Linked DNA regions of Macaca mulatta. The protein of the gene in region 1 purifies or fractionates together with the protein of each later gene. This does not show direct contact. Links are inferred from orthologs where the notes say so. Each region holds a gene or a part of one and is shown on either strand. Other genes may lie near its edges.

Region 1 (3,748 bases):
CAGAGGAAGGAGCAACACTGAGTTGAGGAGGGGAAGGTTGATTTCATTGCTTAAGCTCTGCCAAGATTATCTAAGTGTTTGGTGATTGCTATGTGCTTTAAGAAAGGCGGCCAAGGGGCCGGGTGCTGTGGCTCATGCCTGTAATTCCAGCACTTTGGGAGGCTGAAGCGGGCAGACCACGAGGTCAAAAGATCGAGACCATCCTGGCCAACATGGTGAATCTACATGGTCTCTACTAAAGATACAAAAATTACCTGGGCGTGGTGGCGCTGCGCCTGTAATCTCAGCTACTTGGGAGGCTGAGGCAGGAGAATCGCTTAAACCCGGGAGGTGAAGGTGGAGATGGAGGTTGCAGTGAGCTGAGATCGCGCCACCGCACTCCAGCCTGGCGACAGAGTGAGGCGCCGTCTCAAAAAGAAAAAAAAAAAAAAAGACAAAAATGAAAGGCAGTCAGGGTTATGCAGAGAGCCCTCATCTAGTTGGCAGGAGCTGCGGACCCTGCTCCAGTTGAAAGACATTGTCAATACTTAATTACTTTGGGAGAGTCATTTCCTCTCGCTGGGCCTCAGTTTTCTGACCACAAGTGCCTTTTGAGTCCTAATAGTAATAAAAGATCAATAGGTGAGTGACTGGAGTGAGAGTGCTGTTGACCACTGACTCATGGGAGTAAGTTATTTGCTTCAAACTAAGTCTGCAAATTACTGTTTGCCTTGAGATTCCTCATGTAGGATTTTTCTGAAGCAAGGCAGCACTCAGTTATCTGAGTTTCAACTCAAGGTCAAATCCCAGTTTTGGGGTCACTATTCCAGAAAAGCAAACACGAGGTTAGGAAATTTGAGGATGCCTAAGGGGCTGTATTCATTCCCATCTCCCGCGTAAATTAACGGACTAGGGCCGGCTTTGGCCCTCAACAAAGATGGCACCCGCCCTCGCCTCGTCTTAAGTGCCCTCACAAAAAATGACAGCCGGCCTTTTTTTCTCTTAGTTTTGCTGGCAAAAACACGGACGCTGTGCCCTTAGTTAAGATGGCACCTACCCCCGCTTCCCTGCCCGTCCTCTGGCGCCAGCCGGTCGGCTTCACTGCGTGCGCCTCGGTGACCCCGCCTCGTTTCCGTAGGAAGAAGCGCCGGGAAAGATGGCGGCGTCTGTGGTTTGAATTCCAGCGGCGCCGCCAGAGTCTGAACAAGCGCTGGGGTGGAGGGGGCGGGGACCCTGGGAGCTCGGCGGGTCGCTACCGCGGGGGGTACTAGTGGCGCCGCCGCCACTGACACCAACACCGCCACCACCTCTGTATCCATGATGGACTCGGTGTTGGAAGAGGACGTCACCCTCCTTGGGACGCTCAGCGGCTGCAGGTGCGGCCGGGGCATTGGTGGTCTTGGTAACCGGGCCGGGGTTCCAGCTGATGGGGTTTCACTCTAACGCGGCCTTGAGGTTTGCTTTTGAGGGTGTCTGGCCAGGGGCAAGTGTGTGGGGTGGGCTCCTTCGGAGAGGGTCTCTGGGGGGCCCACCAGCTGACACTTTGGGGGGCTGGGAGCCACGATCTGCACCACAGTTGCCTGTAGCATTGCACCACGTACTTTGTAGAGGGCTTGAAGAACAAGTAAGCGATTTTGTGAAAGAGTAGGACCAGGGTGGGGCCACTTGGAGTATCCCGTTAGTGGGGATTGGTGCGGAACAGGGACCTTGAGGGCACCTGATGGTTCACTCTGGTTTGAGGGTTTGTTTTCATTATGGAGAGTGTAGCCGATATGCCCAGACTTTGCTTTTTGGGTCAGATAGTGGCCACCCAGGAGGCAATGGAGTGCAATGGTTAAGAGCCGTGGCTGGAGTTGGACAAAACTGGATTCAAATCCAGCCCTGTAAACTGACTAGCTGTGTGACCTTGGTAAAGTGATTTCACTGGCTTTCCCATCTGTAAAATGGGCTAGTAATATCTACCCAATAGAGTTGGGGTGAGGATTAAAAGAGGTGATGCCTGTCGAGCCATTAGCTTGGCACCTGTAGTGCCTGCCACATAATCAGTACTTAAAAAATGATCTTGTGTTGCCATTAGTGTTATTATTACTACTGTCATCAAAGGTGATATGAATCAGGGAATAATGGCCAAGAGTGGCCTCCCATGGACCTGCCCCAAGAGACTGGGAGTCCCCATTGCTGGTTGAGCTGGAGTCTGGTAGGAAGGCCTAATAGAGCACTACACTGCTTCAGGGCTGGCCCCTGTGGTTGTCCTGGACTCCTGGTTGGAGAGTGAGTAGAAGAAGGAAGAGGAGAGCCCTGACTGAGAACCTGCACTGTTTATCCAGCTCTACTAGGGACAAGCTGCTGCTTTTAGTCAACAGATCCTAATTGAAAGGGTAACCATGGTATTTATTGTGCTAACTGGGACACTTAAGAGTGAAAAGGGCCAGGCGCGGTGGCTCACCCCTGTAATCCCAGTCCTTGGGGAGGCTGAGGTGGGCCTATTTCTTGAGCTCAGGAGTGTGAGATCAGCCTGGGAAACATGGTGAAATCCTATCTCTACAAAAAATACAAAAATTAGCCAGGCGTGGTGGCATGCACTTGTAGTCTCAGCCGCTCGGGAGGCTGAGGCAGGAGGATTGCTTGAGCCCGGAAGGTTGATGCTGCAGTGAGCTGTGTTCATGCCACTGCACTGTAGCCTGGGTGACAAAGTGAGGCTTTGTCTTAAAAAAAAAAAAAAGTGAAAATAATTAATATTTATGCCCGGGCAGCAGACATACATAGGGCCTATCTTGGGTAAACTTGGACAAATGGTTTTTCTGTTTATTGAGAACCTTCATGTATCAGGCACAGATTAAGATGCTTTGCAGTTCCTGTCTAATTGGGTCCTGTGATATTTCATCATGCCCTTTTCTGTCTGTTTTACTTCCACTGCCCCAATATATTTGGAGTATGGCTTCTCTCCTGTATTGTCCTTTGCACCTCTAATAGTTTTTTATACTACAGTTTGAAAACTATTATTTATTTATTTATTTATTTGAGTCTTGCTCTATCACCAGGCTGGAGTGCAGTGGCGCGATCTCGACTCACTGCAACCTCTGCCTCCCGGGTTCAAGCAATTCTCTTGCCTCAGCCTCCCCTATAGCTGGGATTACAGGAGTGCACCACCATGCCTGGCTAATTTTTGTATGTTTAGTAGAGACGGGGTTTCACCATGTTGGCCAGGACGGTCTCCATCTCCTTATCTCGTGATCTGCCCACCTTGGCCTCCCAAAGTGCTGAGATTATAGGTGTGAGCCACCATGCCCAGCCTGAGAACTATTTTTAAAATATAAATCTGCTCTTCACAGTCTGCTGCTTTATACTTTTAATGCTGCTTATTGCTGTTACCGTAACTTCCATTATTATTCTCTCAGATAGCCATTCTCATTTCAGTGCTTGTTGGCCAAACACTTGGGTTTTGGGGTCCCAGGCCCAGCTGGGTTTCAATCCCAGTTCTGCTACTTAACAACCCCTTGATTTGGGGCAAGTCACTCATCCTCCGTGAGCCTCAGTGTTTATCATCTGTAAAAGGGGTTGGTGTAAAGCCTAGGGTTGGCATAAGGATTAAAATGAATCTTAAAAAGTTTAGTTCAGTGTCTGACCTGGAGTAACTACTCAACAGAACAGCAAACATTCTCCTTTCCCTCATCTCCCTCCTTTGCAGGACCTAGATACTGCATACATTCCATCTTAACCATTTTAAAGCATGGTTCAATTGTATTAAATCTATTTGTGTTATTGCTGA
Region 2 (3,421 bases), on another chromosome or scaffold:
AGTTGTTATCCTGTATTGTTTAGGGTGTAGGGGCAAGAAAAGAAGTGTATGTGTTTGGTGCAGACACATCTTTTTTTCTGAATATTTTTCACCCACAGTTGGTTGAATCCATGGATGCGGATCCCACAGCTGTCGAGAGCTGACTGTGTTTGTAGTTATCGGTGGCTGGCATTTCTAGGACCAGAGAATATGAGTGTTTAAGGCTTAAAGCTTTGAATTTGGGGTGATTTTACAAATAATTAGTTTTCTGTTTCTACTAAAATGTACCTTTTTTGCAGTCATACTTCAGCAAGTGGCATGTCGTAATTACTCCATGTTAATTCTTTGACTGATCACAGCACGGCGTAACCTAGGCCCTGCTGAGGGGGTGCTGAAGATGAGGAGGGCCCAGTCGTGGTGTGGTCAGCCTGGCCTCCCTGCACACGGCATTCTCCCTAACCTGCCCCTGGCTGCCTCTCTAAGATATTCTTGTTGACGAGCAGCTCTGTAGACAGTGTGGGCTGTGCTTCCTTACAGAAGTCGGAAAGGGCTGCTTGGAAGCCAGACGAAACGGCTCCACAGAGTTCCCTGAGGCGCCCAGACCCTGGCCGGCTTCCACCGGCTGCCAGCGAGGAAGCACACCCCAGCAACGTCAAGGTAGGAACAGTGCCACGAGTATAGAACTTTGGTGCTTTTTAAAGTCCTGGGTTTGTAAATTGCAGGCAAAGTATTTTGGGGACCACAAGGTTCTCGTCTGCCGGGTGTAGCAATCACATCACTAAAGGAAAGGAAGTTCACAGAATAAACTTCAGCTTGAATTTTGGTTTAGTTGTGCACACGTACTGAGTTTCTATGCTTGTTAAGTGTGGAACGTGGAAGGCTTTGACCAAGTCAGCAAATGGCAGCCTCTGCAGCCTGAGGGAGGCCTGGCCCAGGGACTTGCCGGGATTTGGCCCAAGCTCTGCTGCAGTCTCCTGGTGGCACACAGGCCCCACCCTGTGACGTCCATCCCATGCCCAATTTGGACCTTACCTAAGAGGTTAAATTCAAGAAGCCTTCATAGGGGCCCATTTGATGATGCTGTGGAGAGAAGCTTGTGGTTCTAGATCTTGTCTGACAAACACAAATTGGTCTTTGAGCAGAACAGCAACGTTGTTTCTGGCCACAGATACTGTTGCAAGGCCGATGGCCTCTGTGATGATTTGCTGAGAAAAAACAATCTGGCTCTTTGGAGAGAGCTATGGTGTAAATGTGCTTTGTCAGCAAGACAGGCGTCTTTCCTATGGTAAAATCTGTTTTTTTTCTTTTAGATGGAAAAATTGTACCTGCATTATTTGAGAGCAGAGAGCTTTAGAAAAGCTCTGATTTATCAAAAGAAGTATCTTTTGCTGTTGATTGGTGGATTCCAGGATTCTGAACAAGAAACACTCTCCATGATTGCCCATTTGGGGGTATTTCCTTCCAAAGCGGAGCGGAAAACCACATCTCGCCCTTTCACACGGTTCCGCACGGCCGTCAGGGTGGTTGTTGCCGTATTGAGGTAAATGCCGTGACATCCAATCAGCACGTCCGCGTCTGTCCCCGTGAATGGGCAGCACGCTGCATGGTTTTTTGGTGATTTTATTCCTTGAAACTCTATAATATGTTCTCTTTTTAAAGATGAATGGCATTTGAGGCCTTAGAGAAAATACAGATGATGAACTTGTCTTCAAGAAGTCATGTGTATGAAGCTGTCACCTTCTGAAACTAAAGATTTAAGGGCACCTTTGTATTACAGAGGAACATCTTGACTTTTAATGGGTTTCGTGCCACAGTTTTTTCCATTTCATAGTTTTAGAATGTGCTGAATTTCGAAAACTGCTTTTCCGCCTAAACGCTGTGTGGCTGTGCCTGCTCCCTGACGCCACAGTGTTCCCTGAGGCCACACACAGGCCTGTCTGGAGGAGCAGATGCAGCAGAGAGTAGCTAGGAGTCCTGTTCCTTTCAGAGACCAGGCGCCAAGAAGTTCCGTCATTGCAGCTGCGGGCTGGGCTGAAGTGGGGTGCAGGCGAGGCCTCCTGGGGTGCTGTGCTCTCAGCTTCTCTGGTCCTGGGGCACTTTTGTCTCCTCGGCTCTGAGCTCCCCTGACCGTAGGCCTTCACTGTCCATCCTTTCATCCACCCATCTGTCCATCCTGTGTTCGTGGGGAGAACACCCTGCCTGAGGAAGCATTTTAGGCACTAGATGGGGGAGGTAAGCGGACCCAAGTCCTACCTCCAGGGTCTTCCTGTCGAGGAGGGATCATTTGAAGGCAGCAGTGTCCCAGACAGGAGCAGTTTCTGTGTACCTGTGAGAGCACTGCCTAGGGTAGCTGCCACCAAGGGGCCTTCACGGGTCTCATGGAGGAATCGGCAGTGTCTGCTGTGCCTCAAAGGAGGGAAGCCGCAGGCATGATGCTTGTCCCGAAGGCCATCCTAGCAGGACGTCTGGGGCCGTGCACCCTGACCTGCATGCCCTCGTCACCTGCACCCTGCGTGCTTACCATCTGACGGACTCCTGCGAGGGCTGGGGTGTCCGTGTGCTGAGCCTGTCCGCTGGCATCTGTGACAGGATGAAGACGCGAAGGTCCTGCACACCAGGCCGGAGCAGCGTGTGTTTCCTAGTCACTGGTGTGGCTGCTGACTTTGAACTGGAGTCGTCCTGAGCTGGGCCACGGCGGGTGTCTGGGGAGCCGGATGGTCCATGGTGGGGCTGCAGTGAGGCTTCGTCAGGTGGTCGGGCGTGGGAAGGTCTCTGCCGCCAGCAGCCCTGCAAGCACTTTGGATGTGTGCACCCGGCGTGCAGGGCCCAAGTCCACAGACTGGCCAGCCTTAACGTCAAGGCCCCATTCTGCTTGTTTGATCACAGTGGGGTTTTCATTGCTCTTTCCCTTCCTGTTTTGCCATACTTTTAAGTGTGTCTTGTCTCCTTTTTTTGTAGATTACGTTTTTTGGTTAAGAAATGGCAAGAAGTAGATCGGAAAGGAGCTCTGGCACAAGGCAAAGTCCCTCGCCCAGGTGGGACTCCCGCTGCCGTTGGCCGCTGGACTCACAAACTTTTCTTCCTACTGTTTGTAGCTTTTTCATTCACCTTTGGGTCATTTTTCAGTGTTGATGGGGATGTAATAAAGCACAGTAAGAAAATCCGTGAATTCCGTCAGGGCAGTCGTTCAGAGGGAGGGTGCGCCCAGCACAGGGAGGTCAGAGCTCACGTTAGCTATGAGCACAGTTCACAGGGGCATATGGTGATGGGAAATGCTGAGATGCTCAATATATTGATTCTTTAATAGTGTTTAGCAAAATGGTCTTTTTTATTCCCCAAATCAACTGAAACTCACTTCACGTCTCTTTCCTTGTAGAGCATCATGCTTATTTCTGGCTCACTCCCATCTTTGTCTCAGGAGTTCTCTGCCGTGCCATTGCCC

The links.
Region 2: the proteins of CDK5RAP2 (region 1) and PCNT purify together in Homo sapiens (co-immunoprecipitation; 4 studies listed by BioGRID and IntAct, with this or other methods). This does not show direct contact. The link is inferred for Macaca mulatta from reciprocal best matches to the Homo sapiens genes CDK5RAP2 and PCNT.

The regions. Positions count from the first base shown.
Region 1 is NC_133420.1:37,623,178-37,626,925, forward strand, and holds the start of CDK5RAP2 (CDK5 regulatory subunit-associated protein 2), read left to right. Parts: upstream 1-1,107; 5' UTR 1,108-1,296; coding exon 1,297-1,355; intron 1,356-3,748. UniProt on the Homo sapiens protein: Potential regulator of CDK5 activity via its interaction with CDK5R1. Negative regulator of centriole disengagement (licensing) which maintains centriole engagement and cohesion. Involved in regulation of mitotic spindle orientation.
Region 2 is NC_133408.1:1,140,397-1,143,817, reverse strand, and holds part of PCNT (pericentrin), read left to right. Parts: intron 1-516; coding exon 517-636; intron 637-1,289; coding exon 1,290-1,519; intron 1,520-2,937; coding exon 2,938-3,014; intron 3,015-3,421. UniProt on the Homo sapiens protein: Integral component of the filamentous matrix of the centrosome involved in the initial establishment of organized microtubule arrays in both mitosis and meiosis. Plays a role, together with DISC1, in the microtubule network formation.